Arabidopsis thaliana: one gene and its partner. The protein of the gene in region 1 interacts with the protein of each later gene in a pairwise test. Each region holds a gene or a part of one and is shown on either strand. Other genes may lie near its edges. The genes, in order: HSFA6A and VOZ1.

Region 1 (3,928 bases):
TAATGCAGTATTTATTAGAAAGTTGTCGCTTAATTAGAGAAAATTTTCCTAAGATGGAGGAATTAATTTATTTAGTAGTAACGTATAAAAAAGGCTTTATTTGAGGGAAGAATCTAATGGTACAAATGAGGATAAGATTTATAAAAATAAAGTCATGAAAATGACGTGGCGAGTACGTGCACTCGATTATTAATAATTAAAAATAAAATTAAATCGAGGAAAGCCACATGGGTGATCATAAAAGGCAATATCTCTTAAATAAAAGGTCAATCCAACGGTTCGATTCGTCACGCGCTTCGATCGAAACGTATAACTGACTTAAATTAAAATAATTGTATCGTATTTTAGCTACTTTTTAAAATTGACAGCAATAAAATTTGTGTAAAAATGTAAATACTTTATAGTTAGTGCTCAGGAGAAATAAAATGTTGATAGACGTCTTTGAACAATCAATGGAGTGGAAGGTGTGGCCGAATTAGTCAATTTGTTAACAAATGCCAAGGCCAAATATTTTGTTGGGCTTTTAGTTTGGCCCAAATTGTATACAATGCTTGATGACAAACTCGGAAAAAAAAAGCAAAAAAACAAAAAAAAACCTCTCATAATACATTAGTTTATTATATAAAATGTTCCACTAAATCACACATCTCCTCCTCACTCAACACGAAACCCTTCCAAATTCCTTCACTATCCATTTCAATTTCATCCTCCCCTTGTCCTTGATGCTCCATTGAAGCTATGTGAAGCTCATCACCATAATCAAACACACCTCCACATTGATCATCGATGTCATCACCATACTCTTCTGGCTCAGCTTTAACAAACTTTCCATTATCCTCAACACCATGGCTTGAGATCACCTCTTGCTTTTGCTCTCGATTCTTGATTCCTTGCAGATTACGTTTCCTTAAGCTCTGTAAAAAACTCGGTTTCTTAATCTTCTTTAGCAAGAAATTCATCATCATTTCTTGCTTTACTTCTGTGACTTTCAGTTTCTCTTCCATCAAATGCAGATATGTCTTCACGCTTTCTTGTTTTCGTCGCAGTCTAACCAGTTCTACTTCTAAAGCCATTCTGTCTCTTCGCAGCTCATGGATCTCTCCTTCTAGCGACTGCGTTTGCGTTTGAGATGATGTCTTTCTTCTCTTGATGTTCTTAAGAAGATGCCTCTCTCCCTTCAGAAAATGCTCATTTGCAAATTCCCATCTCTCTGTATCAATCTTCTTAAACCCCTACAGATCATTAAACAAAGATTTAATTTTTAATGAAGATCAAAATAACCAAGACAAAAACTCAAAAGTAGTTACGTACATAAGTATTGAGCTGTCTAACAAAGCTGGAGAAATTATTGTGCTTAAAGCATCTAGGGAGGCAAATTAGGGCAAAAGTCTCTGGTTCCCAAACAATGAAGCTGTTGTTGTCTCTGCTCCATGAAACTATGTTGTTTGTGCTTGAATCCTCCACTATGTTGTATGTTTTCGTCAAGAAAGCCGTTGGTGGCGTTTCTTTGAGACCCTCTAATGGAATTGGAAGGTTATAATCCATTTTGTGAACAAAAAACCTATATAAATTTGAGCTTTTTTAATAAAAAAAGAGAGAGGAGAGAATAGTTGTGATGAATAGCTGAAGCTTGAGGATGCTTTTATGCTGTCTATATTTTTGGGGTTTAATATTTTTGGATAGAAATGTATTGCTTTTGAGTGTTTTGGATAAGTCTATTTATTAGTTATCTTTGATGTGGACAAAGCCGATTTGCTATAAATGGAAATGAGAGATCATAGTGTCATACATTCATTGGAAGATGCTACTTTTGTGTTCTTTTGTCTTCTATGAATATCAGAAAATCTAAAATTTAATTAATCATTATAAATTTAGTGACTATGCTCCAACATTTATAAGCTTCGTTTTCGCCCATGACACGTTGTAGTGAATGCATAGAGATACGTTTCGTGGTTTGTTTGTTTATTCTGAAGTCAGAATGATGGGATTTTTGGTGGAACCCTTTGAAAGATTTGTGTAGAGAACAAGAGTATCCTTTGAAAATTTGATTGATCCTTGATTCAATTGAATTGGGTTGGGGGAAAACCAGATCTAACCACACCAAATCAAACGGTTAAGCACGACACAAGCAGAATTATACATTATATATATATATACAATTAATATATTGATAATGCATAATTTTAAGAAGATTTTGTAAAGAAGAGGTCATTTCAAATATAAGAAAATTTATGCTTTAACTTTTGAAGTACACTAACACTATATAAGTAATAATACTTGAATTACAGTTTGGAAAGCTCAAATAATTTATTCGAAAATCGTAGGGTTTTTTTAGTTATAAATTTCACGTTCGCAGCTGACATTTGTTTTTTAATGATACTTATTAGATAAATACACACTATTTTTTTTATGTATAAAAGCATACATCGCAAAAGTATGTTACAAGAACAACTATCCAGAAGGAGCCGCTGTTTTTATTTTACTGCTTAAGACTAAAGAGTAAACAATACATACAAATTACACAACAAGCATATATTAATATTGTTAATGTGCTTTAACGGTTTCTCCAAACTTGTAGGTTAAGCCGTGGATATACTTTTTCCTAACAGGATGTTCTTCCTGTGGCCGGTTATATGGTGTCCAAACCGGTTCCCCCACGAACAGCCTCATTAGCTGCAAAACCAAACCACCATACATCACAAACCAACAATCAAATCTTTTAACATAAGATATTAAGATGTAATATTTCATTTGCGTATTCATATAAATTAGTAAATTAGTATAGAGACTGAGTTTGGCTTTTTGTACCTTGATGTAGTTGCTGGCGTCGAGTGTGAACCGGTGGTAGATTCCGGCAGGAAGGACAATGAGATCGCCAGGTTGCATCCAGATACGGATCCAACGATCATCCTTGTCCCTAACATCAAAGTAGCCACTTCCTGCTAGGCAGTACCGAATCTCTTCGTCCTTGTGAATGTGTTCTGTGAAAAAGTTCTTCAGCTTTTCTTCGTAGTTGCTGACTTTCTCGGGACACAGATCCAGCAAATCCTAAAATGAAGATTAACCAAAGTAATCATTCTGCTTGAGAAAATTAGTTTATAGCTCATAAGTTACAATGCTACACACCACACAAATAGCTTAATTATTTTTAACGTAAACCAAACGTTTTAATGTTCCCTTAATACTCAATTACAGAGAAGCCTTCTTCCTTAATAAGCTGGTTTCTAAAATGTTTGTAGTCATACTACCCCTTAATGGTTATGCAAGATTATAGTCCTACTGTCCTATGATACATGTTTTTTTTTTTCATGAGATTAGCGTGCAGAGATAACAAGTAAAGGAACTGAAACATCAATAGCCGCTTATGGTGAGCATGAGTTAAAAAAGGGTGATCAGAAAGACATAAGCCGTAGCAAATCCTGTACTCTAATACTCATAAGGCTTCTTTCTTCATAGGCTGGTTTTGTAAGGTTTGAGTACTACCTTCATTATGTAGTCCTACACTCCTACTGTGTCTAGTATATGTCACAATCGTTAATCTCATGAGATCAACATGCAACGATATGCAACAAGTTAAAAAACAGAGACATTCAATTGGCATTTATGATGAGCATGAGTGTTCCTAAGTTAAGAAAAAACAGTGATCAGGAAGAGATAATATGCGTACCATGTAATCGTAACCCCTGTCTTCTCTAATCTTGCTAAGTTCAGAATCATTCTCGTAGTTCTCAGGGTTCAACTTCCAGTACAACACTCCCAACTCTACAAAACACAACAACTATATTTGTGATATTTGCATAATTTATGATTCTGTTAAATCTCATCTTGGGTAAATTTGACCATTTCCTTAGTTTTAAGACGGTTTACGTTTAGTTTCCTCATGTAGAATCACTACTCAATACAATAAAGCATGAAAGATTGATGTTTT
Region 2 (3,928 bases), on another chromosome or scaffold:
GTAGTGGTGGACCGATCTATATTCCAACCAGGGATATATAAGATGTAAGGTGCATACTCAAAGAAAATATTGTCAATAATTGGCTGTTTAACTGTGATTAATATATAATCGTACTCAGTCAAGAATTGGTTGTTTAAAATTAGTGGAGATATTATTTCTTATAACCTAGTTAAAAGTTGAATTTGAATATTTTTTTAGAGTTCATACGACGAACATTATGTATTTGAAATGAGAATAATAAGCAATAATAGATAAAGAACGATAGAATATGACCATTGAAGAAATTGAAAGTAGATGGTATGATGAAAATTGATGAGCATCACAAGATAGGAATATGGAAAACATAGTGGAGAAAAGCTAAGTTATATTCCTTCCTTGCCAATATCTCCTTCTTTTACACCTTCTTGTATCTTAAAAGAAAATAATAATAACTTAGTATTCACGACACTTGTCCAAATTCTTTACCCAAGATTCCTTTGTTATGCTTGTTTGTTTTTTCCTCCAAAAGTAATGCAAATTTACATTAGGTACAAACAATCTCATTGTTAAAACTCATTGAAAGGATATAAGAAAACAAATGGGTCCAAATTATTTTAAGAAATGACCAATTGTCAAGCGCAACCAAAATTACGGTTATCAATCTAATTGACTTATCTTGAAAATATAATACGTTACATTTCCAATATTCCTTTTTTATTATCAAATTACGTTACATGTAGTCGTAGACTTGAGCACTAATTAGCCGTTGAATCAAAATCTTTAACGTGGTTCTACTACGATGCTATCATAAAGTCTATGTCAATTTATCAACAAAATATACATTCTCGAAAGAAATGTTATCATGAATCGTTTTTTAGTTTTTTTTTCCTACGACTACAAGTACAGCTACGCAAAGTTGCAAACCACTCCCCTCCATACACATTAACTTGGACTAAACCCGATGATCATACAATGTCACAAATTTTAGCGTTACTACATTAGTCTTAACATTTTCTAATATTTGCAAATGTTCCATCCCTAAAATGGATGGTAGTTTTAATTTCAAAGCCTTTTTTTACACTTTTTTGTTTGGTATTTGTTTTAATTTTCTCGTATGTATAAAATTTGCTTAGCTTTAGCCTATCTTGAATTCTATCATCGCATATTCGCATGGTTATATTATATCTTACAAATCGTGTGACCCAAACTCTGATTTTGGAAAAATTCTTGGCGACTTCCCTAATGTATTACATAGTCTAAAGAAAAACTTAAATTTCTAACTCAAATAGTATTTAAATTTCCTCAAATAAGGAGCAAGTAGTGTATGGAGCCAATAGCATTGAAGAAAATGCCTAATTTTCTAAAGCATATGTGCAACAAAAAAAAAAAAAAAACATAATTGAACTCTGGTTAGTTTAGAAAACAAAACAAAAAAAAAAGATTATTTACACAACAAATAGTAAATTTTAAATGCTCATTTAATATTTCTTAATATAAATAAATGCTATAAAGAGAAAAAATGAACAATAAAAAGAAAAGAATCCATAATAAACAGTCCAAATGGCATTTTTTTCCAAAATAATCATTAAATTCCTTAAACATTTCCCCACAATTTGATAATTTTTAAATTTTTATATTTTCTCATAAATTAGTACATTGAATTTAGCTCATAAAAAAGGAAAAAGAAAAGTGGAGGGTGAAGAGAAGAAGAGAATCCAGCAACGTTTCTTTATTTCCTTTGTGTTTTTTTTTCTTCATAATCTCTCTCTTTTTATTTATTCATAATTTTTACTCTCTCCATTTCTTCATTACTCTTCTTTTTATTTTCCGGAGATTTTTCTCTTTGCCTTTGTTATTTGCTGCTTTTGCTGCAGCTACAGTGTAAGTTTGATTTTCTGGGTTCCTTCAAACTCCAAAATCTCGCGTCGCTTTTTGCTTCAGAATCGATTTGTTCTTGTTACTTCGATCTGTTGTTCTTTTTAACTCTGTGCATGATTCAATTTCGTGTTCGTAACCTGTTTTTTGCTGCTTGTTTAGTTCGACAATTAGGTAAAAAAATGACGATCCCTAAAACTTATGATCCTTTTAATCTTCGTTTAGCTACTTCGTTCGAGATCATCTAGGGCTTTTGTTGCTTCATCGATTTTGGGTTTTGATTTACTGTAAATGTTTTGGTTTTGTTTATGTAATCTAAGCATGTACCAATGATTCATGAGTGATCATGTTTGTTATAGGAGCAGAACTGATGTGAAGTGTGTATTTTGAATGTGTTTTTGGTTTTGTACAGAGAATCTTGTGTTTTTGTGGTGGGGAGGTGAGATTTCTTATGACGGGGAAGCGATCAAAGACTAATTGCAGATCTGCTTCTCACAAGCTCTTCAAGGATAAGGCTAAGAACCGTGTTGATGATTTGCAAGGCATGCTTTTGGATCTTCAGTTTGCGAGGAAAGAGAGTAGGCCTACTGATGTTACTCTTCTTGAGGAGCAAGTGAATCAGATGCTTCGTGAGTGGAAATCTGAGCTCAATGAGCCTTCTCCAGCTTCATCCTTGCAACAAGTATGCTTTCGTTTGTTTCAAATTTGCAATCTTGTTGTTTCTTCTGACTTGCATGGGTGATTTAGTTTTCTTTGTTGTTTCAGTCATTGTTAGCTGTGTCATTTTGTTTTGCTTAAGCAGGGTGGTACTCTGGGGTCTTTCTCATCAGATATTTGTCGGCTGCTGCAGCTCTGTGATGAGGAAGATGATGCTACCAGCAAATTAGCTGCCCCCAAGCCCGAGCCTGCTGATCAGAATCTCGAAGCTGGCAAAGCTGCTGTCTTCCAAAGGGTGAGTTGCTCTTTAGAACCAGTTTTTAATGGTGCTTTAGTTGTGTTTGGAGTCCATTATTTTGTTTAAATACTGAGATCGTGGTGAAAGTTTTCAGGGATACAATTTGGTTCAGGGGAAGTCAGAACATGGATTACCATTGGTTGATAATTGCAAAGATTTGTCCTTAGCAGCTGGTAACAATTTCGATGGAACGGCTCCTTTGGAGTATCATCAGCAGTATGATCTGCAACAAGAGTTTGAACCAAACTTCAATGGTGGTTTCAACAATTGTCCCAGTTATGGTGTAGTAGAGGGTCCTATACATATCTCTAATTTTATCCCGACTATTTGTCCTCCACCCTCTGCATTCTTGGGTCCAAAATGTGCTCTTTGGGATTGCCCTAGGCCAGCTCAGGGATTTGATTGGTTCCAGGATTACTGCAGCAGCTTCCACGCTGCACTGGCTTTCAATGAAGGGCCACCAGGTATGAATCCGGTGGTGCGTCCTGGAGGTATCGGCCTAAAAGACGGTCTGCTTTTTGCTGCTCTTAGTGCAAAGGCTGGAGGGAAAGATGTTGGTATTCCCGAATGTGAAGGAGCTGCAACTGCTAAATCTCCATGGAATGCTCCAGGTAGGCTTTACTCTCTTGGAATTCATTCACAAGTATGTTAATTGATCACCATTCTTGAGCTGATCATACTCAAATCTTGATGACTGTAGAGCTCTTTGATCTCACGGTTCTGGAGAGTGAGACACTAAGGGAGTGGCTATTCTTTGACAAGCCAAGGAGGGCCTTTGAGAGCGGGAACAGAAAGCAAAGATCTTTACCAGACTACAATGGTCGTGGTTGGCACGAGTCACGTAAACAGATCATGGTCGAGTTTGGAGGGCTGAAGAGATCTTACTACATGGATCCACAGCCTCTGCACCATTTCGAATGGCATCTTTACGAATATGAGATCAACAAGTGTGATGCTTGTGCCTTGTACAGGCTCGAGCTCAAGCTTGTTGACGGGAAGAAGACTTCAAAAGGCAAAGTCTCAAACGACTCAGTGGCTGATCTGCAGAAGCAGATGGGAAGACTCACAGCTGAGTTCCCTCCAGAAAACAATACCACTAACACCACCAACAACAACAAA

The links.
Region 2: the proteins of HSFA6A (region 1) and VOZ1 interact in a two-hybrid assay, tested with the Arabidopsis thaliana proteins (one study listed by BioGRID).

What each region holds. Positions count from the first base shown.
Region 1 is NC_003076.8:17,624,820-17,628,747, forward strand, and holds HSFA6A (heat shock transcription factor A6A), read right to left. Parts: upstream 1,669-3,928; 5' UTR 1,546-1,668; coding exon 1,312-1,545; intron 1,233-1,311; coding exon 618-1,232; 3' UTR 534-617; downstream 1-533. Other genes in the region: ARD4 (RmlC-like cupins superfamily protein), read right to left, coding at 2,545-2,673, 2,809-3,048, 3,668-3,762. UniProt on the Arabidopsis thaliana protein: Transcriptional activator that specifically binds DNA sequence 5'-AGAAnnTTCT-3' known as heat shock promoter elements (HSE).
Region 2 is NC_003070.9:10,027,408-10,031,335, forward strand, and holds the start of VOZ1 (vascular plant one zinc finger protein), read left to right. Parts: upstream 1-1,675; 5' UTR 1,676-1,860; exon of another isoform or gene 1,861-2,266; 5' UTR 2,267-2,305; coding exon 2,306-2,536; intron 2,537-2,656; coding exon 2,657-2,806; intron 2,807-2,903; coding exon 2,904-3,420; intron 3,421-3,509; coding exon 3,510-3,928. UniProt on the Arabidopsis thaliana protein: Transcriptional activator acting positively in the phytochrome B signaling pathway. Functions redundantly with VOZ2 to promote flowering downstream of phytochrome B (phyB). Down-regulates 'FLOWERING LOCUS C' (FLC) and up-regulates 'FLOWERING LOCUS T' (FT).